3 linked regions of the Lepisosteus oculatus genome follow. The protein of the gene in region 1 interacts with the protein of each later gene in a biochemical or structural test. Links are inferred from orthologs where the notes say so. Each region holds a gene or a part of one and is shown in the gene's direction. Other genes may lie near its edges.

Region 1 (7,734 bases):
TATAACATCTATACTCATATTTGCCTCCCTGATGAACCACCTTCTTTTTGATGTTTTCACTTGATCCGGTTCCAGAGTTGTAAAGAGCTGTTTAATAAACAAGTAATGATACTTTTTTTCAGGCATTCTAAAGTGTGTTCATATTCAGTACCACCTAATTTTGCTTTAACAGCAAGAATTGAAAGATGCTTACAGGTCTATTTGGTCTAAAGCTTGACTGTGTGCAGGTCAAATATAAATATGTACTCTCCGTCTTTAAATTACTGAAAGCAGGTCTGCATCTATAATATGTTATGTCTGGTGTTCTTTTCACTATGAAGAAAGATTATAGCAGTGTATCTCATTCCTGGTCTTAGGGGACCGGTGTCTCTTTTTTTTCAGCAGCTGAATTCTTAATCATAAGCTAATTGATTCTCGTTTTCTATTTGGAGCATATTTTGAAATCTGCTTTCAAATCTCAGAAGGTTGAATGGAAACTGGAATTGGTATGAACCCGGTAAATAATTGTGGTTTGTCTGAATCAGCTTGTGTAAGTATTTGCTGTATTTGCATTCCTTCATTTTTGTGTTCATCATAAGAACTATTTAGACAGAAATAAGGGGAATCAAGTTTGGCACAGACATTAAAATTCTGTGTGCTGAAGTTATTGGAAACTGTCCTTGGATTAGGATATTTCTGAATATCAAGAATGAGTTCAGAAAATAAGGAAAAAAAATCTAAACAAGCAAGCAGGTTAATTACATTAATCAATTAGCACTGGAGAATTGGAGCTTAGCTGGAACAATAACCAACAGATGCTGTGCTCCCCAAGGACTGGTGATTGGTAACCACAATGTTGATATTTTTTTGTGTAAATGCTGTAGTGCTAAGGTCTGAGGGCTAGAGGGCAGCAGTGCAACTTTTAAAGCTAGAATTCTTGGATGTAGAGGTTTTGCTCTGCATTCTTGAGTTTTTTAATGACTAAGGTCTTTGATACTTAGTATTTGACCAATTGCAGGTTTTGCAAATAAGCTGTTAAGTCACTAAAATGTGATTAAAATATACATTCTAGATCTGCTTCTTAGTAAAATTAATTTTTGCTTCAATTAAATGCATAGGTCTCACCTGCATAGTACTCGGAATTAGGGTTTTTAAAGCATGCAGACATTCACTGAAAGTAAAACTAAGATATTCCTTTCTCCTGTGATTAAATGGGGTTTTAATTTAAGTGAAAGTGTTGCTCTCTCTGCTGACCAGATAGTGAAGCTTTCCATGTACTTATACTATCTATAGGTGGTGTGTGTGGGTGGGATGAGTGTGAAGGAATAAAGTTTTGAGGGCAGACTGTTAATGCTGCTTTCTGCTTGCTTTACAAAGGGCTCCTGATCATTTGCTGTTTATAGGGTCCTTAATGTCTTGACAAGGAAGTTCTGATGGTACTTCATACCCTGGTATGACGCTCTGTGTACTGTTGGCTGAAGCTTGGCAGTGTGAGCTGTTCTGTGATTACAGGATGGATGTCATGTACTGTACTTGCCCTGTTGGAGGGGCTGTCTAGACTTGTCACAGTCTTAGTCCTTTGAATAGAGGCTAATGTAACTCAAGAAGTCAGTCAGAACTATTGTCCAAGACATTGGAATCTTCTCAGCACTGTGATCCCAATTCCCATTGCTTTGTATGAGGCTTCTGTAGTGTTTTGGATCCATGGATCTCAACTTGACCTTCAAAGTTCTTAAAACTAGTTGGTAGAAAGCAGAGAGATTGTATATTATACCTTTATAGCACTTAATGTTTAATCATCATGTGATGTTTGCAAGTTATTTTGATTGAGTTACAGTGCCTTAAATCTAATAGGGAAATCTTGATTTGTGGATTTTCTTAAATAATAGTAATGTTTCTTTTAATGTTTTAGCAGGTACGTGTGAACATCTCAGCTCATAAGTCTGTTAAAACCCAGAGCTAGAGATCACAAATCAGCATGGCTGAGGAGCAGGGTGAGTGTAGGGGGCCTAGGGACAGCAAAGATGATTCATGCATTAGATTTACATAAAACATCTGAGTCTTTAAATATAGTGTTAACATTAAATTAAGGTGTTAAACATTCAACACCTGTTTAAAAAAAGACAGAGCTTCTCTCTGTGCAGCACAGGTAGGACTTCACCTGTTGTGGAGCACCCCTGTTTCTGAGAACAGGATGTGCAGGAGAGCAGAACTGGTACTTGGAAACACAAAAAAAGTCCAGAAAGGGAATAGTTACCAAATCCTTATCAGAATCATGCTCTATAGAAGCTCTTGTGAAATAAAATTGTATTTTTCTTTTGTGGCGTAGTATTATTTCCTTCTCTACAGTGTACATGTCCATCTAAATACTATAAATCTTGCCAGGTTTGCATTAGGACAGTGAGAGGATTACCTGATGAACACAAGCATATTTATGAAGATCTCAAATCTTTTTACAGAAGCTTGATGGAATTTGTTTCTTTAAAGACGTTTCCTTAAAATTCTTAATGTTTTTCGAATTTCTTAGGCTGGCTCATCTTTTTTCCCCCATTATGACCATTTTTACTTTTTATCCTTTTATACTGTATAGCAAGAAATAATTTCAGTATCTGTATAGTGTAATCAGCTTGCTGTATTATATGCAAAGAATAGCCCCCAGGCTTAATTCACTGCTTAAAGTGGATGGGATAGTTCTGTAGCTAAGCATCTGATCTGTGCACATGACCAGCAAAAGCAGATAATGTCTGGTATCAATGTGCTTGGTACAAATTTAGCCTTATGTGTAATTGACTCCTGTTGCTGCTACATCTGACTTGGACCCAGATGTATAAGATTAGTTGTGTTATTTTTATATGCAAGTTTTGAATTTGTGAGATACTTATTTTCTTGAACCAGCTAACAGAAATAGACAATATTTTTAGTCTTATTCTCTAATGCTGCTAAAAATACACCGACGTTTGGCAGAGTTGTTTCTCCCAGGTCTGTGTTTATATCAGCTGACCTCAGTGTTGGGTCTAGTGCCCTCTTTCTGCAAGAATGTGTAAATACAAGTGAGTTCTCTCCCCTTTTTTACATTGCCTTTCTGTAAAAGTCCAAATCCTTATTCAGGCTATCTTAGCTGTCAGGCTTCCTTCAAGGTTGTCCAATCGTGGGTCCCGAAGGGCTGATGTCTCTGCAGGTTTTCAAACCAGTGCGGCACTTAATGTCCTGATTCAGTGACCTGTTGGCTTAATTGGACCAATTTCATAGCCGTTCAGGTGCTGGCAAACCTGCAGACACACCTCTGTCCTGGACTAGGATTGGGCTGCCATGGGCAGGACCTTCTCATTTATAAGGCTTTTATAGAGCAAATTACCTTGTACCTATTGTTGTTGTTGTTGTTGTTGTTGTTTTTTTAGGATTTATATAATTTAACATATCCTACAAAAATGGGTCACCTTTGAAACCAGACGTGGTGTAGGAAAATAAAGATTTAAATTGTATTCCAAGAAACTGAAGTGAAAAAAAAAGCTGTGCTGCTATTTATGAAATTCACATCAGTGTTTCTTTGGTTATTGTTGGCCAACAGTATGTTTTACCTCTGTGGGTGTCGGTTCTTTAGGCCAAGGGTTCCCAATCCTGGTCCTGGTGACCCACATGAAAAATCAGGAAAGTGTTCATCCGGGAACAGTGTTGCTAATTGATTTAACATCTGTGTATCAAAGCAAAAGCTGGCCTGGAGGGGACAGTGGGGAAGCATGCTGAAGTAAATCTGCTTTTAAAGGAGGGAAGGTGACCTGGTGGGTAAATAGTCCTCTTATTTGTCAGGTTATGATGAACTAAAGGTAGTCACTCCTTCAGAGTTACCCAGCAGAAAGTACAGGCCAAGTTTATGAAACCAGTTTTTTTGCTTCTCATTTACTACTCTTTTGTTTCCCATGGCCAGTGCTCAGCTCTAGATCACTAAGAGCCCCAGACTCATCTTAAAGAGGACTAGAAGCTGTACTTGAAAAACTTCATTTGCAGCCTTCTCGTGTTGCTGGTGTGGCATTGAAGGGAATTCTGGCCTGCGCAGAAAAGAAGCTAGACCTCTGCATATGGCTAGTGAAATCCAAGCAATAAGTCACGCGTTTTAGTATGTAGAAATGTCCAAGTTGTTGACTATAAATAGGTCCAAGTGGAAATTCTAGCAGCTGTGTTTCTGTTGGATGTCTCTCTCACATCTCTGCAGCCATCTGGTAGAGGGTCTTTCGTTCCTTATGTGTCCCCAAGCCACTTTGACAGGTAGTGTTTAAGTAAAGCAAGACTGTTATTTGCTGCATGTTATTTGGGGCACAAGAGGCCGAGTTAAGTTTCATGACCTTTTGCCAGTAACAGTCTGACGACTGATTTATTAGTGTTTTCGTTTTAAAGCATTATTTACTGGGATGGATTTCTTAACCATTGAAGCAAGCTGTTGGAGCTGTGTTTTCTGCCTGGTATAAACTGTGGATTTCAGAAGCACAAATAAGAGGCATTCATTTTACATGACAATTGGACAAGTTGATGGGCAGTTCTGATAGAGCCAGTGATGAGTTCATTTTCATTGGGGAGCTTCAGTTTCAAAGCTCTGAATGTCTGGATGTTGATAGCGTGATGGTGACATTTGAAAGGGACTCTTCAAGAATTAAGCTTAGAGGGTGCTGATGTTCGCAAAAGTCAAAATGCTAGTACTACTAATCAAAGAATATTAGTATTGTCTTTCAATTACGTAGACTGGATGCATCACAGAAGTGTTTTAATGTAGTTTTGCCAGTGCGCTGAAGTTCTTTGGAGCCTGCATCAGAGTCTGTCCATAAACCACAAGTTTTTTTTTTGTTTGTTTTATAGAGAAACCTGCCATAGCTCCACCTGTCTTTGTGTTCCAGAAAGATAAAGCACAGAAGGTAAGCCAGCCAGTTTCAGAGCTGATTTATTTCACTTCTGGGAGCTGGGGGGCGGTGTTGAGTGGATGAGAAACAAAGTAAAGGTTAAGGGATCTGAAATCCGTTTAATAACTGAACCATTTTGTAGTGCCATATTGATCATGGTAAGAGTTTGGAGTTGAATGCCATTTGACAGGAGGCGAGAACAATAAACATGTAATTTGTTGACTTATTTTTATTTCAGAGATCAGCTGATGGATCCAGTGCAGAAGATGGTGAAGGTGACTTAAAAACGGAAATTTTTGTTTTGGTGAAAAACTAGACATGCTGTATCACTTCATGAATTTATTGTGGTTTCCTGGACACTTAGAACAACTTGTACTTAAATGTTTCAGATTCAGACAAAGACGATGGAGCTTATTGTCCCCCTGTGAAGCGCGAGAGAACATCGTCTTTAACACAGTTTCCACCCTCACATTCTGGTAACTATCCCTGCTTCTTGTGAGCAAGGTAGATGTGTATGTAAACGTGATGTGAGTTCTGTTGAATTGGCTTGTATGAGACACTAAGAGCTTATTGGGGTTTTAGCATTTTGTGTATTCTGCTTGAGGTTCTATCCTTGTTAACCTTATGCCTTGAATGTGAAGGCAAACAGCTATTGTATAAATAGCAGATTTTCTAAGCACACATGGAATACATAAGCATACATAACATAAAGATGTTCAGTCTCCAAAATTATAGGAAAGGTGCATAATTGTGACCATGAAGAATCAAAAACCCAAATTATCATTTACATTTCTATATGTGGCTCATGTCTCATGTATATGTGGGCATCCCTGCCCTCCTAGGATGTGATCTAGAGATGGTTGCATCCAAACATGGCATTGACAGCTGCATAATTACTGTCTTCACTGAAGCACTTGACACTCATTCATCATCTCCAAAGGCACTGGTATATAGAACTATACAAATCTGTGGAATGGTGGTTTACACCCGGATGGGGCATTTTTTCCAAATGTTCAATTGCTTCCTAGAGAATGAGTATTTTAGTTATTTCAGACTCTGATTTGTTAAAATAAGGTATATAATTTGTAAATGCTTGCTAGGTACTGACCTGTGTGGACCCTGTAAGTAGTCTTAGAAATATTTCTTAAGCCAGAACTGTTGTTGTTTTGTTTGTGATTTGATACATTCCAAAGATCATTCGCATAATCATCGTTCACAAGGAAGTACTTTTTTCCATTGCCTTCATCCCATCATTTATTCCTGATATTTGTTTTTTTCTTGGCCTTGTTTGTTCTCTCGTGTAATATGTTGCTGATTTTTCTTTGTAGTATCCAAAAACAATGTGTTTATGCCCTCAAGTTTCTGTCAGTCCCCAACTGGAAATTCAGACTCTGAGCCTGGTGAGTTCACTGAACTGTTCTCTCTGTGGGTCTGATTTGTAAGATGGCATTGAACTCTGGAAAGGTTAAGCATAGGCTTTTAGCCAATATATTTGTTTTTTTTGTATTTTATGTTGAACCATTTCATTGTACAACCTGTTTTTTTTCTCCGTTTAGAGAATGGTGTCAGGTTTTAGAATCATTAGTCAAATTTTTCCAAAATATTTTTTTTTAACCTATAACATTTGGCAGTTTATTCATGCAGAACTAAGTTTAATCTTCATTGCTGTGCTGTGACAAGTCAGCCAGGTCAGTCAGGTCAAGTAACGAGTCTAAGCTCTATTTCTTTTTAGAGTTATAGCGTTAGTTATTTCTCTGGTGTGTTTCTTTACTTTTTTAGTCTTGGCTTTTTACCTGCTGTTTGGTCTTATTGTAATATTTGAATGATTTGTACTTCATTTCCCACTTAACTAAAATTAAAACCTTTCTTCTGGTCAGGCTGCTTTATCAGACTTGGGCCAGATTAGTTGCAAAACTTTTTGGCAAAACAAACTGGGTCTTCTACATTGTTTTGCAGTTACAATTTATATATGCAGAAAACAAGACTCTTGTAAATAAGGACTCAGCTCCCCAGGATAAAGATTAATTACTCTGGCTCATTTTTCCTGATTCCCTGATCATTAACTTGCAAGTGTTTATCTGTTTGCAGAGGAGAAGACTGTTGGATTTCGTCTGAAACCGCCCACCCTGATCCATGGACAGGCCCCTAGTGCAGGTGGGTATTCATTGCTGCTATGTCCACGAGTGGATTTAGCAGCTGCTAGCAGCCTTTTCCGCTGTGTGTGTGTTGTTTTTTGCCTGGGTTATTGTAAGTCCGTGGTTGCATGATGGATTTGCAGCAAATGCAGGAAAAAAGGAAATAATCTCATGCATATTCATGAGAAAAGTCTTAAAACTAGATTTTCCAGTCTTTAGACTAGATGTGAGAGCAAATTAATAAAATTCAAGCTAATGTTAGCGTATTTTCCTTGTATTACGACTTTAATTATTTGATTGGGCAGAATGCTTTTTATGGGAACTTTCCTCAAAAAGAGTTCTCAACTTGTGTTTGAGATCACCTAAATTAGGGCTAGACTATGTGGTGTTTTGATCGTTTTGAGATCCAAGCTATTGGCAGGTTATCTTTCAGGTGTTCCAAGCCAGAAGCCTAAGGAACAACAGCGAAGTGTACTTCGCCCTGCAGTACTCCAGGCCCCACTGCCCAAAGTTTTTCCACAGACCAGTAAGTAAACTATTACTCTGTTTACTGAGTTCATTTCCAGTCCACAGTCCTGTAGGTGGCATTCAGGCAAAAATAAACCCATCTGATATTTCATGTAAAACCGGGTCACCTACTTTCTTGTTTCCGTCTATGTATGCTGTCATCTGTGGCCCTGAGGATTACAGGTGTTGAAAAATCTACCTAGACGTGAACTCCCAAATTACCC
Region 2 (8,058 bases), on another chromosome or scaffold:
ACAATGTTTTAGTGTACTTTTTTGGGGCCAGTAGGAAACAAGTTCCTCACCTCTGCTGTATAGATTTATTCTGTAGATTACGTGAATGCATTGTATATCTTGTCTTCCTATCTTAAAAAGAAAAAAAGATTTTAAATATAATAAAAGTATTATAGGCTGTTTCATTGTTTTTCTTAATGACAGAATGGTTGGTGGTTCAGCAACACTACAAGGACTGGTATATAAAAACACCTGTTTTATTTTACAGATGTATAATTTTTGTAAAGAAATGCTATGGAATTTAGGCAGTTGATATCTGCACCTCTCTAATTAGCAATTAACAGCCACTGCAGAATCAAATTAAAAGCTTATAGAAAAGTGTCTCTTTTGTCTTATATTTCTTATGTATGAGGATATGTTTTGGGGGGGGGATTGATCATGCTGTCGGGCTAAGGTTTTCTACAGACTCTGCTGGATTAAGTCCATGTTGTCTATTTGATATGAATCCATTTTCAACAGTGCCTTTCAGGCAATGCATTCTTCACAAAGTGTTGTGCATTAATAAACTATAAAAGAGACTATTACGTGCAGTCTCTGTTAGAATGCGGAGAATAGAGTAGAATATAGATAGCTTACAATTAGAAACACAGTGACAGAAGATAAATGGTTGCAGAATGTTAATCTTTACACGCCATAGTAAAGGGCTTTTGCAGTACACAAAGCGTGCACAATTAACAAGCAAACAAACCTAGAACCCACCACCAGTTCAGTAACCAAGCATGATCAATGATGGGGAAAAAGCAGTTAAAGAACACAGCAACGTAACCAGCATGTGACCACTAAAGCAATACTTTTACCACTTGCCCTAAACCCCAAGAACAGCTTAGCCTTATACCTTGTATCAACCTTTAGGTAAGTTCTGCTTTCTCTCGTAAAAGTCTCGGTATTCCACTACCCAGTCCCTTGGGATTCGGCTGGTTGGCTTATGAAGCTGCACATACAGGGCCCTTAAGGCAGAATATTATTTTTCTTCCGTAAATGAGTTCTGCTCCTTTGGGTATTTATAACCCAGAATACGAGCCTAAAAGGAGGAAATGACCAAGAGGTAATTAGGAAAAGACATCATAGTACTTATATACCAAGTGTGGCAGCCGTGGTCATCGGGACTTTTGTTGTAAAAATGGCACATTTTTCTACTGTTCATACAAATTTTCTTATTTAAAGATAAGTGTGGTATATGCGGTTTCGCCGTGTGGTCAATGATATGAATGCCTCTTTCCAAGCATCGTTTCTTTACCATTTAAGAACTGATGGCATTTCTTAAAAGAGCAAAGAAAAGTTTTTAGGAAATAGAGCATGCTTTTTTTGGCTCCTCTTGTATGCCTGATGACTCCTATCTTATGGGTCCAAGAACAAATGCATAAATTAACACCTTCAAAAGATTGCCATGTGCTCTGCAAAAATTACAAACTAAATTCCCAGCTTTGAAGACACCGTGGGAGATGAGAAAATGATGTCGCACGAAGCGATAGTGGCAGAAATTGAATTCACTGAATGACTGTACAGTTACAGTGTATTGACAGCCCATAAAACCCGTTAATACAAAGTAAATAGGAAAATGCCAGGTTATTTCAAATAGTGGATTTAATTGACGAAGGGTAATTGATGGGGAAATAACCGTTGAAATACAAGATAAAAGAGCAAGAAATTACTTTCAAAGGACAAAAAGAATTCTCGTTTTCAGCACAGCTTTAAATCATTTTTGTTTCGATTTTAAAAAGTGTGTTGGGAGGGTAACTGCTTGGTCTCATTTGTTGTAGTATAGTCCTCCACTGAACTTCTTTCAATATACCTTTAGTAGATATATTTTTAAAAACGAGCTCATTTTATTGGCTCGACTGTGAAAACCTCAACAGACTCTTGTATATAGAGAGAATATGTTCATGTCTGAACATCTTCAAAACGGAGGGAAGTTTGGAGCTCTTATGAAAATAATCAAAAGCAAAGTGCGGCCACATACTTCGTAATTGTGCATGTTTATCAACACGGGTAAAGAAACAGCTGAAGCGAACGGGATCCGATGTATAATGTTATAGCTGGTGAAAACTGACGCCTCTTGGATGCTTGGTCCTTTGTCTGAATGATTCCATATGGACTAATGAACAGTTAACTGCGTATTCATTCAGCTTCATTTTATAGAAAAGAGCCCGTTAGTCCTTTCATATTCCAAAAAATCTCTCTAAATCATGCAGCTGTAAAACTGATTTTAATGTACAGGCAACCTTTTTAAACAAGGGTATGTTTGTTAAATAATGAGGTCAATTAAACTTTTGGGAAAGGGTATGTGGTTCTATTTTTTTTATTTAAATTGAATTTTAAATGAAATGTCAGTTCAGCCATCTAGTTAAATTGATCAGCTTTCTTAACCACTTTAAAATAGTCAGATTGTCTAATTTGATTGATTGATTAATTTGAAATAAAGATTAGGGGATACTAATATAAATTGTATAAATGTAAAAAAAATGCACATTTTTAAAGTCATCTTTAATGTCCACGTCAAACCAATGCAGCAAAGCAATAGAAAAAAAACCCCAAACATCGTTGAGGCTTAACAGCAGTGGAGTTTAAGAGGACAATCGTACTCAAGATTTAACAGAGACTCGTTTCGAATATTGTGTACAGGCATGGTAGCTGTTACCATAAAAAAGGAACCTTAGAAAGAGATCAAAGTAGAGCAGCAAGAAAAACTCCTGATCTCAGTGAGTTGTCATGTACCCGATAGAAATTCCAACAGTTTCTTAAACGGCCTCACAATCAACTTCACTGCCATGGCTAGGAGCTGGCTTCAGGCTCATACAGTCATCTGTGTAAGAATACAAACATTGCCAACTAGAGGAGACTCTTAGGGCTGTCTAGTTTACAAACCCGTCTGCCGTCTTGTGCTCTGAATTCTCCCAAACCTGATTTCGGTTTTTACATCGTTACTCCTCCTGAAACAATCCCTCGATTTGTTTTTGTCCGTTTCTGAGCTGCAAGGCGATTTTTATTTATTTTTTTGCGGCTAAAAACGTTCAGCGTCTTCAATGGCCCTCCCACATCAACGATTGACGACCAAATGATTCGTGCAGTGTACCTGTCAATTGAGCTAAAATACAAAGATTTGTCTGCTGCGTATAATATGCCCAACACTTGGCTTTGAAAGGCGAGCGACGCGTGGTTTTGTAGCATTTATTGAAACTAGACGGGTTAGATGCATACTGGGGCTGTATGAATTGGCCCTTTCTAAAAAGCGAGAAAGATGAAAAGCTCCGAAAGTGAAAATGATTTATTCCCTTTCTCTCGACAGCTGAGTTTTCAGTTGTTCCGCCAATTCTAATCTTGTAGCTTTGCTACCATCTGGCGGCAAGATATACAGTAGGGGACAAAAAGCTTATCATCCCAATTATATTTAAGTGGGTCTAACATCTTTTTGTTCAGGACAATCACGGGTGGCAATTGTTTTCCACTGTTTTGTGTTTTTCCTCTTTCGTGCTACGAAATATTTAAGTGATTTCTTTAACTTTTTAACTGAACGGATCTGCTAAGATTGGCTAAAAGCTGTTGAAAGGTGTGGGTTGTCAGCAGACAGTTGTCTCGCAGTTCCTGGCCCCCTTACTGTTTCCCAGAAAGGGAATTGGGTGTCTTTGAGTGATCTCTGCATGCGATATTCGGGTTTGGTTTTGTTTACCCAAATTCTGGTGTGAATAGCGCCGTGTCGCATGTGCATTTGAAAGAGTACATCGTGTGAAAGTTAAATGAGATGGCACTCCGACTTAACCTTCACCATATCGTTCTGAAGACATTCTTAGTAACACTGCATAATTTAGGACTTGTGTGAACATTGACCAAGGGGAAAGAATTAAAGATCACTTTGTTTCATTCTTTTTGATTTATTGATTTGACTGTTTCATCCCCAATGGGAGTAGCTGGTGTCAATAAGAAACGAGCTGTTTTTATCCTTTTTTATCCGTTCGCTTCCCCCCCCAAAATTTAGGGAAGTGTGCAATTGTTAAGTTAAAGAAGACAGGCATAACACAACGTGGCATTGTTCCGTCAGAGGAAAAAATATCTCTGTTGTTTTTCTGTTAACTTATCTCAAAACACCAATGTCTTTCTTGTGTAGTGGACACAGAATGATATATAATAATCCAAATCAGGTTAGAATCAGGTCACCACCCTTAGCCTTTTCTGTTCACAACTAAAATGATTTGCTTCTTTTAACCTGTCAGTACATCCCCGTTAACACAGAAATGTACCTAGTTACTCATTCTAAAGGAAAATATTTTGTGGCCATAACTGTATCCAATATTCTATAAAAGGCACTGTACGTCTATATATAATCCCATCTAAAATCCTTAGTATACATTTTATAAACGTTGTTTGTTTTTCTATCTGCGATTGTACCCATTGATTGTCACCAATCAGCAGATATGCTAGGCTTTAGAGTATAAGTATGTATCTACATTTTTACCTGTGTGGAGCACCTGATGAACAAACATTTCCCCCCAAAACGTCAGAGACGGTGTAGGAGCTGTAAGGAGAGGTGTCTGTCCCTTTAAGAGGGCAGGCAGGAGCAGCCGCATGGAGAGGGAGAGTGGAAATTGTGTGGTTTTCAACTTAACAACAGGACACTCTCGGCTGTGGTAAAGTATGGCAATAAACTAGCGCGTTACTGTTATTCTCGCAGTATTTTTTAGTGAATACAGCTGAAAGGTTGTAGATAAACTGTGATATCCGACGGTCAAAGTCGAAATTCGCGACTTAAATAGCGAACAGACAATTCCAGAACATTTTATTGGCTCGGTTTCTTATGACTTCTGTTTTTTTTTTAATTGTCGGTATCCAGCGGGGGGACAAAAAGGCTTTGTGTCTTTTATTTTAAAAGTCTTTTTGGTTAGATATATTATAACTTTATAAAAGGCTTTTTATGTTTGCGCATGGTTTTCTGTGCACGTTACTTTAAAAGTACCTTATCCTGTACGTGTGCTCAAATTGTGCCAATAAAGTTATTCAATATGTATTTGCCCTTCGTGGTAATCCTGCCAGACTTGAAAGTAATGGTAACGTATTACATGTTAAGAGTAGATGAATGTTTCGTAGAGCACTGCGGTGTGTAAAAAAAAAATGATGGGGTTGTGTGGGAGACCTGGTTAAACCTGGATGGCTCCGCGTGGCCTTTTAAAAAAAAAATAGCGGGTCGCGAAAACACCGTGAACCAGGAAATGAATGACTGGGAGCGAGTACCGCCATGCTTTAAAAATGCATTTCCTAAAATAAGGCTCTGAGCCTATGCATCTGCAACGGGAACAGAGCAGTTTTTGTTTTGTGGTCTTCCTGGACTTCGTGCATCAGCCCCTGTCAGTCATTTTTTTTTTAATCAGAAGATCTGTTGCAAACGCGTGGATCGCTGCACCGGCAGCTGTAGTTCATGTGCATTTAAGGAGGTTATCCCCTCGTAGCGATAAGGGATTTATTGCATTTAATGCTCTTTACCTCTATTTTTCGTCCAGTTGCTAGGACTTTCTTTATCGTCGCCACCCCTGAAACATTGTGAGTGACGTTGTTTTTCTGTCGACTTGCTAGTTTGCAAGTCCTAAAAAAGCTTTTTGCATGTTTACCAAAGGCCATGCGCGTAGACAGCAGCAGTTGCTTTAATTGAGCTTCTCGGTGCTGCATGATAACTGAATGATTCTGCGTAATCGCGGTGTAGGCGCGTTTATATACAGCTCCTTTCAGTAAGTTATGATTGTTTTTGACTTAAGGGTTTCCTTTTAATTATCAATAGTATCAAAATGTCTACGCCTGTTGGTCGTTGGATCTCTTTACAATGACGTGGCATGGTGTGTCGGTGTTGGACATCAGTTGTAGCTATATTTACTAAGTGGCGTGCGTTCTATGGTCCAGAGACATAAATACAAATATTCTGCAGTGGTCCTATACTACCTGTGACAAGCGGTAATATCTGCCTCTATATTGCTTAACATATGTAGCCAAAGTCGTGATATCTGTGTGCACTGCATGTTAAGATCTGTATAAGGCCTGTACGTTTGATTTTCTGTTTGTCTCCTCTAACAGTAGAAGAGACCAACATGCCTGGAAAAAAGGCTGCAAAGAGGCCCAGCCCATCAGTGGAAGTCAAGCCCTCCAAGAAAGTAAAAGGTAGGTCATTGAGTGTCCAGTGGTCTCTCTGACCTATAGTAGCCCTCTCATGCTGGGGCTGCTGAAAAGCATTGGGAAGAGTTCTGGCTGTAAAATGGTGTTTATTAATTACTGCTGGTTTCTGTACATCGGGAAAACTACACATCTTCAGAGGAGGCATTCCATTAGGAGTTCTTTTATTGTAAACAAGTTAGCATTTTCAGAGTTCTTTCCTTCTACTTTATGATCCGATTCTTCTGTTGGGTGTTTTTTGCAGTCAGTAAAGTAGTTGTATTTATGTTTGCATCCCAAATATGATGTAAACTTCACATCAAGTAAAATCTGGGGCTAATGTGTGCATGACTGAAGTATAGCGCCCCATATAAGCATACTGGTTTGCTTAAAGCTCCGATTCATGCATGTCCTGTGTTGCCCAATTCTAGATCAGTGAGTGTTAATGTCAGACTAATACCAACAGTATTCACCTATAATTAGGACAAGTTGAACTTGAGGATCTTGACCGAAATGAGAAGCCTGGTGTATTTGAATGACACTATAAGTGTTTTCCTCATTCATATACAATACAGTTATACCTTATTTCTGATTTGTTTGCAAAAAACATACAAAAACTATGTTTAATAAGCATTAGATTAAAATAGATATAACATTACACAAATGACATCAACCTATACATAGTCCTTATGTACCACTCCTACAGGAATCCGCACAGATAACCAGAACCTGTGAGTTTACTCCCTTCCACAATCACTCCAAGCTCCTATAATTTCACATTATCACTTCGTTTTGCACCTAACCCCTCATTGCACGGAATTCCTCAATTGGTTAAGTCTGCATTGAAGGACTCTAAAGCACCTATGTGAGGGCATCAGTCGGTATCCTGTGGGAATTTACATTTTTCTAAGAAGAATTCATAGTCTGCAGCACAAGCCTGACATGCATTTTATTTACCTGCCGCTCTTTAGCAGAACCTTGCGCAAAGTTGCTTTGGCAGATTTCCAGGCGCATTCACTTGACCATGTGCTTGCTCTGACGTGTCGCATAATCCCAGCTGTTCCCTCCTCCCACAGTGTCCCACGGCTCCCATGGGAAGCAGGCGGGGCAGGTGCTGGTGCTGGGGCAGGGGGACGTTGGGCAGCTGGGGCTGGGCGAGGATGTGATGGAGAGGAAAAGGCCGGCGCTGGTCTCCCTGCCGGAGAGTGTAGTGCAGGCCGAAGCTGGAGGGATGCACACGGTGTGTCTCAGCGACACTGGAAATGTGAGTGACTTCCACCCCCCTCACCTTTAATGAGTCTTGAAAACCTTATGACAACTTTGTTTCTTTACCCAGCAGATATTTCTAATAAAATAAAGGATCTTCAGTGTGGTGTAAGGGTAGGCTCCAGTGGAATTTAAGGACACGAAACACTGGGCAAACTATTCTTAGACAAGATGGGACCGATAGCCTTCCTTTAATTGTACCATTCTTATTATTTAGGAGCCAAACAAGCATGAGGAAGAGGAGGCCAATTAGCCCTTTCAGCCCATTTGGTAGCAAGAAGCTAATTGATCCAATTATCTCATCCAGTTTCTCTTGAAAGAAGCCCGACAGAGTATCGAATTTGGCAGCACGGCAGGCCAGCTTGTTCCACGCTCCTGCAACCCTTTGTGTAAAGAGTTGTCCATTATGCCAGTATTGCAGATTTTAAATAATATATTAACCTGACAGTGGCCTTGTTTATTTAACAGATCTTTAGCATGGTATATTACGGCCCTGACTAAAACAAAGTGTGCCAGTGATTTAAAACATACAACTCAGTGCGCTAACCGCAAGCCACTCTTATAGAGAGAAAAGCTTGTAATTATTTGCAACTGTCATGGCACAATATGAAAGTCCTATATCGT
Region 3 (7,989 bases), on another chromosome or scaffold:
TGGCAAGGTCACCCTTGCTAGATTGCTGCTACAATAATGGCCACCACTACTTACACTTTCACTAAAGGGAAAGATCAGTTAGGTCTTGGCTCCCTGAAACTGAAAAGTGGCCTTGGGCCAGAGAGGCTGCTTAAGTAACCCTATGTGGATTCATAAGCGAAAAAGATTGATTTGTGGGAAATTGCATGGTTATGGCCTCCGGGAGGATTGGGAAGCTGCCATTTCTCCCTACAGCAGCTTTGATATACATGCTCAGCCTACCTCGTGCCCTGCAGGCAGTATAGCACTTGACATTTTCTCTTTCAGAGAACAGGCGTCACATCTGTAACTGCATAATTTAAGGAACCTGAGGTACTGACCTCACCATCATAGAAAACCAAATGTTCATTTGTGTAAATTGCCTAAATGGACCACACAGAAGGAATCGTGACCTCTATACGAGACAAAAAGCAACACCTCCAAGTGTAGGGCCATACTTCTCTGCGATCTAAAGGACGGAATCTGAGGCTTTGTTCCACCACAGCTGGGAAAGTACCCACCTGTGTCAGAAATACATTAGCTGTAGTTTACTGTGGACATATAGTGCTGAAATTTCAAATCATATATGTGTTAACAAATTGCTATAGAATCTGCAGGCTACATGATGACACAAATATTTAAAACCCGGGTCTGTCTTTGTGGCAGCTCTGAAAGGGAATCTTGTACCTGCTGGCTGGCTGATAAAGGCCACTAGCACTTATAGACACACAGGGCGATAATTAGCTGATTAATTTCATTATTGGTGATTGGTGTGATTGGTATATAGAGGAGTTTGTTAGAATTTGGTGTTTGACAATAGTTTAGATTTTATGTTATAAAGCCCTTCAAAGTGCAGTATTTCTAAGTATTCAGATTCCTTGAGGCAACATATTAAAAGGTGAGGGTCTGTTGCAGTCTTCTACATCCAGTCCTGTGGAAAAACCTTGATCTGCCATATAAATTAGCTTGCTCTTTGACCTCTATGTTGAGATTTTACATTCTTCACCTACTGGAAGAAAAATATTCATTTTCTTTTATTTTGTTTCCCCCAGGTTTCTGAAGTTTCTTTCCTGGCTGATGAGAGAGTGAAATGAAGCAAACTGAATTATGGTTTAGGAGTTTTCAAAATGCCCAGAAACACGCTTTCAGCACCCAGATCATTAAACTACTGTAGTTACAGTACATTCCCTGTTTTTGCCATTGTTTCTTTGTTACACACCCTGCTAAGTTTTAAGTCAGACCCTGTATTTTGGTTATTAAAATGCTTATTTAAATTTCCTGGAAAGCAGGTTAACCTGTTCTTCAGGTAAGGAAGACTTTCTTGTTATATTACATAAGCCAGGAGAGAAATGGTGGTTTTGTAAGACTGACATTCTCAAACATGTAGGTATGCTTCACAGTTGCTTGACAACATACTGCACTGTGTGCAGGTTGCTCTTTATTGGTGTTGAGCCTGTTGATCAGTGCATTGTACTGTAGGTCAGGAACTTCTGTAGGCCTTCCTTGAGTTTAAACTGGTTTTAAAAGGAATATCCAGGGACAATTTATAAAAGATATGGATTAACAAAAGGTATTTATCAGTATCTGCACATCGCTTTACTATTATAAGGTGCCTTTTCCTAAATATGAACAAGATGAAGGGCTCTAAAGAGTCCTTTACATCAGACAGCAGACTGATGGAATGGTGGGACTCATGTAATAGCTCATTTATTCATGTAATGCAGGCTTCACTGAAGCACAGAGAAGCCAAAATTAGGAGGAGAAATATTGCTGCATACTTAAGCCTCACATCCAATGCCCTTGATACATCAAGTACAGTATCAGACTCAATTACTGTATCCTTCAATAAATCTTGATTCTCACATTTTTTATGTTGCATGCAGCAATCTTTCCAGATGTAACAATATTTGAATGTCCCTCTGCCTGTGCTGAGAGCTACATGTGCAGTGGAAATTTCCAAGCCAGGGGAGGATAGTGTGCTTTGATTGCTTTAATGTTTAATGACTTTGGGACATGTTTACATTTTGTTAGCAAACTCAGTCATTTGTTAAATTGGGGCAGCAACATACCTATGGCCACCACTTTGCTATACCACTGGAGACTTTTAAAAAAATAACCATTCCTGCTTTTGCTCAGAGGGCATGAAAGCAGCATGCAGTTTCTTTTAGTAGCATAATCTTGTGCTGTGTACAATTACAAAGACATCTGTATACTGTATCAGGAATGTAGGTTGCTCTGAGTTTCACATTTTGAGTCTAGAGTGCCAAATTCATCTCTGCTAATGTCCGACATTATATAATGAAAAACGGGATATCTACCCCTCACGTTTATTTATCGTGGACTTAAACGCATAAACCGAATATTAACTCAGTATGCTTTGCATAATGAGCATTATCTACTCAACTGATTGATATAACCACATCAAAACAGCAAAAGCCAACTTGTGAAACATCGTTGAATTTTTGGTTGCTCTTTTGTTCAATAAATGCATAGAAAAAAAGCCTTTTAAATGTCAAATAATGATACTCTCACTTGGATCACGTGCATTTAATTTCTTTCAGAAAATCTGCACAGCAGTTTACTCGGGCGCAAAACAGTACTTGAAACAGCCCTAAAAATGCGAGAACAAAATCTCACATTTTAAGTCCTTCACTGCAAGGTCTGGAAACCTCGTGTCAAAATGCGCGAATTCTATCAAGTACAACCCTGAATTATCTGAAATATAAACCGAGCATTTACAGGAAGGTTGTCACCCGTCTAACATCAACTAAAACCTCTTCAAAGCGCGAATCGCACACGGTAAGAGAGTGATGCACTGTCCAGAAACCGCACTTTGCATTGCGATTTCTGCAAGCTCTACGGTGCTCCTCCAGACAGTCCTGTATTTTTCCATCGACCGCTGCGCTCGATCAGACGCACGTGACCTGTCAACAAATTGCAGGCTGAACTCTCAATAAAAACCCTTTAACTTCTGGAAAATATTCTAAGTTTGCGACGTTTGTTAAACTATATATATATACGCTCACATTCGCTATGTGCACGCTCAGCACGCTGTCTCTCCTTTGTTTCGTTATTTTAGCTGACACCATGCGCGCATCATGCCCTCTGTTACTACACAACCACTCCCCTCAAAGCTAGTGGAAAATTACCAGGTTAGAGGAGACCGAGGAAAAAGAAACCAACTTCTCCAATCGCGCAGCGGCTCTCTAATCTGCTTGTTCGCGCACGATTTTCGGAAGGCCGCAACGCCGATATCACAATCCGTAACCTTACAAATATTTTAGACACCGCATGGGCACCCAAAAATTGTTTTTTTTAATTTATTATATCCAGCACCGTGGAAGATGCAAGTTTCCAGACGTCAATCAAGTGTTTTGAGCCAATCATGGCCGCACCTGGCAACTTGCAGATTCATTGTAACTCAGACGCGCACCAGGCTCCAACCAGATTGACAGGGCGATTTGACCAGTCAAAACTCAGATTGCAGGGGCTTCGTTCCGCCGTGATCCTGCCTTCTTTTTCGGCTCAAGGGCGGAGCGGTGGCGTGGGCGCCCGTAAGAATTGAAATAGACTGACGCGGGAATTGGCCAATAGGAAAATAGTTCAGCCGTCGCTAAAGTCCGCTCAGCCAATGGGCGGGGGGCATGGGCGTGACGTTGGTCCAAACTTTCCGCGGCGCCATCGGCTGAAAACTAAACCGAGATGGAATCTCCCAGTCTGAACCGGTTTCAACCGGTTATGAGTTTGTTGCTTGAGAGCAGAAGAAGCGCAGAGCTTACAGTCTCTTAAACCGCCCCGCTGCATAAAACATTTCAGAGAATAGAACAAAACTGTAATCTGGAGAGTATTTTGTTTCGTAAAATGAACCGGAATAACAAATTACTTAGCGTGCCGTGAATATTGCAGGAGAACCCACATAAGTGGTTCTTAATCTCAGTACTCATTCTGTGGAATAGTGTATAGAAATTCTTACCACGGTATTTAATCATTTTTCTAGATTCTCTGGCTAGAAAGCCACACGTATTTCAGTCTAAGCCTTGGATTTAGCGATTTACCAGGTAATTGTGGTTTTTCTGTGCCAGTCACTGAAAATATTGGGTTCACAAATTTGCAGAATAATAAAAAGAAACTTACTGTAATTCACTGGTGGAATTAAAAACCAAAAGGAGGGGACAGTGATTTAAAACGTAGGTAAGTAAACGGTGCATAGGTAAGGCTTTTCAGGATTGTGAGAGGGGGTTCTGTGTGACATTAAAACTCATGGTGGTGCGTACAGCGATAGTGGAGAGTGGAGGCCTGTTGAGAAATTGAATGAAAGTAAATCCAACCACTCAGAGCGCTCGCCAGCGGACGCAGTGGAGCAGACGCCTTTGCCGTGTTGTTAGCGGAGAAAAAATGGAAAAGCCAGAGTGCGAAGGAAAGAAATTGTAGAAAATGTGAGATGGAAGCGAGGTGCAATTGAGGGGAAGTTTCTAGAAATGTTTTTTTTTTCCCCGAACAGTAGCGAATCGACTATGTGAGTCACGTGCTCAGCCTCCGCTGCCTCAGAGGGAGGGGTTGCTCTTAGTGCGTAAAAAATGATGTAAACAGAAGGAAATTAAAGACGATTTGGTGACAGTTTGATATTTTTTATTTGTATATGCGCGTAGACGGGGTACGCTTTCTCAGCTACTTGTAAGGACAAAGGGTTTTTTTTCTTTCAGGCCTTAAAGAAAAGGATGTTTCAAGTACCGAGCAGAACTACAGGCATTAGCTGGGAGTTGCACCAGTACTCCTTTTAGATATCCTCCAATAATGCCTGAGGTGTGTTTGTGTGGGAGAAAGAAAAAATAAAATTTAAAATGAGCAAAACGGTCCAGCATCATTCATTTTTTATGATGAAATTACAGGGAAGGTAAATGTTAGTTTAGCTTTCTTTTTGCTTAGATCAATGACCAGCCTGTCTTAACACTTGTGCATGCGGTCATAGCATATAAATCAGGCCCCGTGTAACGTGCCTGCCTTCTGAAGTGGCTAGATCTCCGCATGGTTTTAGTGAAATTTAAGACTGAAAGTGCCATCTAAATAACAATTATAGCTAATCCTTTTAATACCGCGCTTCCTTGAAAATTTTTTGCATTAGTGGCAGGAATTACCAATATCAGTAGACGCCAACATTGACGTTCTCTTGTAACAGTGGTGGATTGCTAAACGTGCGTTGCTTGAGCAGGCGTGCTTAGCAGGTGGGATACTGTTCAGTTTTGCTTTCGGAAAGGGCGGGTAAACTGGGTGTAGACGGGTCGGAGGTCTTGTGGGTGTTGTTGTTGGTTTAGAAGAAAACTGCCTGGTCCTGTTTGAAAGTGCTCTTGCATAGTGCTTCAATAACCGAAGTATGCTTGTTGTAAGGTTGTCCGCTGCGTTTGCCCAGTTCAGGCTCTGCTAGTAAACGTATTGGGAAGCGCCCCAAGTCCCGTGCCCACGCTTACCTGTAGTCTGTTTTCATCATAGACTCACTCCCCAGCCCGCCACCTACTTTCAGGTGTAGACTGATATCGATTAACATGTTTTGTTGTGGCCTTATTGATCTCCTTTGTTACAAACGTGCCCTAGATATTCCATTCTGTATAGACGAATGCCAAAGAGTTACGCCTATGTGACTTGTATGCAGTTTTTGATCTGGAGGGTCGTTAAAAAATTCCAAGAAGCTTCCTATATTCTATACTACGTGGTTTAGTTTTAAGATTAAACAGTCCAGTGAAGTGTCAAAGAGCTTATTTGAAGTTCTGAGATGTGTACTGTACTACGAATTCAGTTACATGCAGCTCTGTTTTGTCCTGAAAGACCTTCGGGCCAACAGCTGTTTGGAATTGTGTGCCTTAATCACTGTTCAATTCACATGACTTTGCCTGTTGGAATCTTTTTCTGTTGCAGTACTCTATGCCAGCAATTATGACAATGTTAGCAGACCATGCAGCTCGCCAGCTGCTGGATTTCAGCCAGAAACTGGATATCAACCTATTGGACAGTGTGGTGAATTGTTTGTACCATGGTGAAGGGCCACAGGTAAAAATGAATGATAAAACATTCTTAAATTAATGCATTACTTTTTTTTACATTTAAATGCTATGTAAAAGCTTGATCTGTAAAGCATCTTATTTTTAATCAATTTTGCAGTTGTGAAGAAGTTTAATAGTGCAGTATTCAGAATTAACATCTCATGCAACATTACTTCTAATATGCATTCCTAAAATAAATTTAGTATTGATAGCTTTGCTTGAACCTAAGCTTTCAATAACCAAATTACTTGATGGATTATACGATTTATAATAAAACAAATCTTTAAAAGGAGAGTGTGCCAGCACCGGTCCACGAGGCTGCACGTAAACAGTTTTAATAAGGTCTCTACATATTATCTTAAGAACTAGAAAAAGGCAATTTGGCCCCATTGAGCTATTTATAAATGAGGAAAATTTGAGAATTAGTTGGTACAAGGATTGATAAATCTGGGAGTCCTCAAAAGTGGGATTTGGCGACCTCTGGTGTGGAAAGAGAATAGGCTGTTTTTCAGGTTAACCTGAGGCCTGTAGTCTTATTGACCTGCTTTGAGTGGACTTTTTCCTTATTGAAGCTAAGACCAACATCTCTAATGCTGTATTTAGTTACTCTTCTATCAGCTCACTTCACTTGAAATCATCTGTTACTTTAATAGCAAAGAATGGCACAAGAGGTGTTGACCCATTTGAAAGAACATCCAGATGCTTGGACAAGAGTCGACACTATTTTGGAGTTTTCCCAAAATATGAACACCAAGGTAAGCAAGACTTGGAATAATTACAGGAAGGACTGAACATCTGTACTTTGAGGAAGTCATAGACGAGTGCTGTGGTTTCAAACTCCATTAGGTTGAAAACTAAATTTTTATTTTGATTATATCAGCTAAGCAAGTGTTCTGCTTGTATTGTGGACTAAGCTTCCTGCTAGTTTGCTCTGGTTTTGTGTTCATGAAATGGTAACACAAATGTGCTTGTATATTTGGTTCAGGCCTAGCTTTCAAAGCTTTTCTATCTGCTCAACCATTTCAGTTAAAGTCAACACAGCATACTGCTTACAGTAAAATAACATTGCTTGGCATGCATTATTCATTTAAGAGTTTGACCTTTAATAGTTTAAAATGTCAGTCCTTTATAGTATTTCGAAATTTCAGTTATTCCAAAGCTTAATTGGTGAAATTCTCAGTAATCAGTTGTAATTGTTACCTGAATCTGTACTAATGCGTATCTATATACCCAAGTATATACATATGTATTTTAGTAAGGTTTTCTGTTTGGGTGAACTACGTGTAAGCTATTTTAGTGTATAAAAAGACTTCCTCAAAGTTATGGTACATGACAGTTTGCCTTTTTTTGCTTGCCTGTAAAATTGCTCTTTAATACTGACAGACATTACTAATGTTTGAGTTGATTTGTCAACAGTATTTTAATACACAAATTTGTAACTTGCGAAAATTGAGGTCATTAGCGGAACAGAAAGAAAACAAAAGGTAAACATTTCTTAAATTTGTCTAAATTTTTTATAGTGCATCGATTTAGCACTAAGACATTTGGCTTTTAATTATTTAATTTTTTATACAAGCTGTTACTATTTGATATTAATCTTAATGTTCCATTATGTTGATTGCTTGTAATAGGAAGAAAAGGGGTGTCTTCCTGTGCAACTGACACAGCTAGGCTTTGACGGCAGGCCTCCACAAGGTCTACCCTTTTGATTCCCTTTAACTGAATTCTGTTCATCAATTGTATTGTTTCATGGGAGGAGGGAGGGTTTAGGTTTACTGAATAGGTTCCATAAGACCTAAAGTACAGCAGGTATTTCTTCTGTAGGGATCATGTGCTTCTCCTTTTTTCATTCATTTCTTTTGCTGTCTCTCATCATAACATTCAAACCTTGCAATACAGTGGTGACATGATTGCAAGCAATTCTTCGTCCTAACGT

What was found.
Region 2: the proteins of ran-binding protein 3 (region 1) and rcc1 form a complex in vitro, tested with the Homo sapiens proteins (2 studies listed by BioGRID). The link is inferred for Lepisosteus oculatus from reciprocal best matches to the Homo sapiens genes RANBP3 and RCC1.
Region 3: the proteins of ran-binding protein 3 (region 1) and exportin-1 form a complex in vitro, tested with the Homo sapiens proteins (2 studies listed by BioGRID). The link is inferred for Lepisosteus oculatus from reciprocal best matches to the Homo sapiens genes RANBP3 and XPO1.

What each region holds. Positions count from the first base shown.
Region 1 is NC_090724.1:4,953,288-4,961,021, reverse strand, and holds the start of ran-binding protein 3, read left to right. Parts: upstream 1-4,202; 5' UTR 4,203-4,217; coding exon 4,218-4,242; intron 4,243-4,827; coding exon 4,828-4,883; intron 4,884-5,106; coding exon 5,107-5,143; intron 5,144-5,257; coding exon 5,258-5,344; intron 5,345-6,196; coding exon 6,197-6,268; intron 6,269-6,956; coding exon 6,957-7,022; intron 7,023-7,424; coding exon 7,425-7,529; intron 7,530-7,734. UniProt on the Homo sapiens protein: Acts as a cofactor for XPO1/CRM1-mediated nuclear export, perhaps as export complex scaffolding protein. Bound to XPO1/CRM1, stabilizes the XPO1/CRM1-cargo interaction. In the absence of Ran-bound GTP prevents binding of XPO1/CRM1 to the nuclear pore complex.
Region 2 is NC_090706.1:6,699,475-6,707,532, forward strand, and holds the start of rcc1 (regulator of chromosome condensation), read left to right. Parts: upstream 1-4,571; 5' UTR 4,572-4,661; exon of another isoform or gene 4,662-4,666; intron 4,667-4,981; exon of another isoform or gene 4,982-5,078; intron 5,079-5,389; exon of another isoform or gene 5,390-5,568; intron 5,569-6,093; 5' UTR 6,094-6,107; coding exon 6,108-6,177; intron 6,178-7,244; coding exon 7,245-7,432; intron 7,433-8,058. UniProt on the Homo sapiens protein: Guanine-nucleotide releasing factor that promotes the exchange of Ran-bound GDP by GTP, and thereby plays an important role in RAN-mediated functions in nuclear import and mitosis.
Region 3 is NC_090712.1:9,751,512-9,759,500, forward strand, and holds the start of exportin-1, read left to right. Parts: upstream 1-4,269; 5' UTR 4,270-4,812; coding exon 4,813-4,821; intron 4,822-4,829; exon of another isoform or gene 4,830-4,912; intron 4,913-5,928; coding exon 5,929-6,060; intron 6,061-6,706; coding exon 6,707-6,808; intron 6,809-7,989. UniProt on the Homo sapiens protein: Mediates the nuclear export of cellular proteins (cargos) bearing a leucine-rich nuclear export signal (NES) and of RNAs.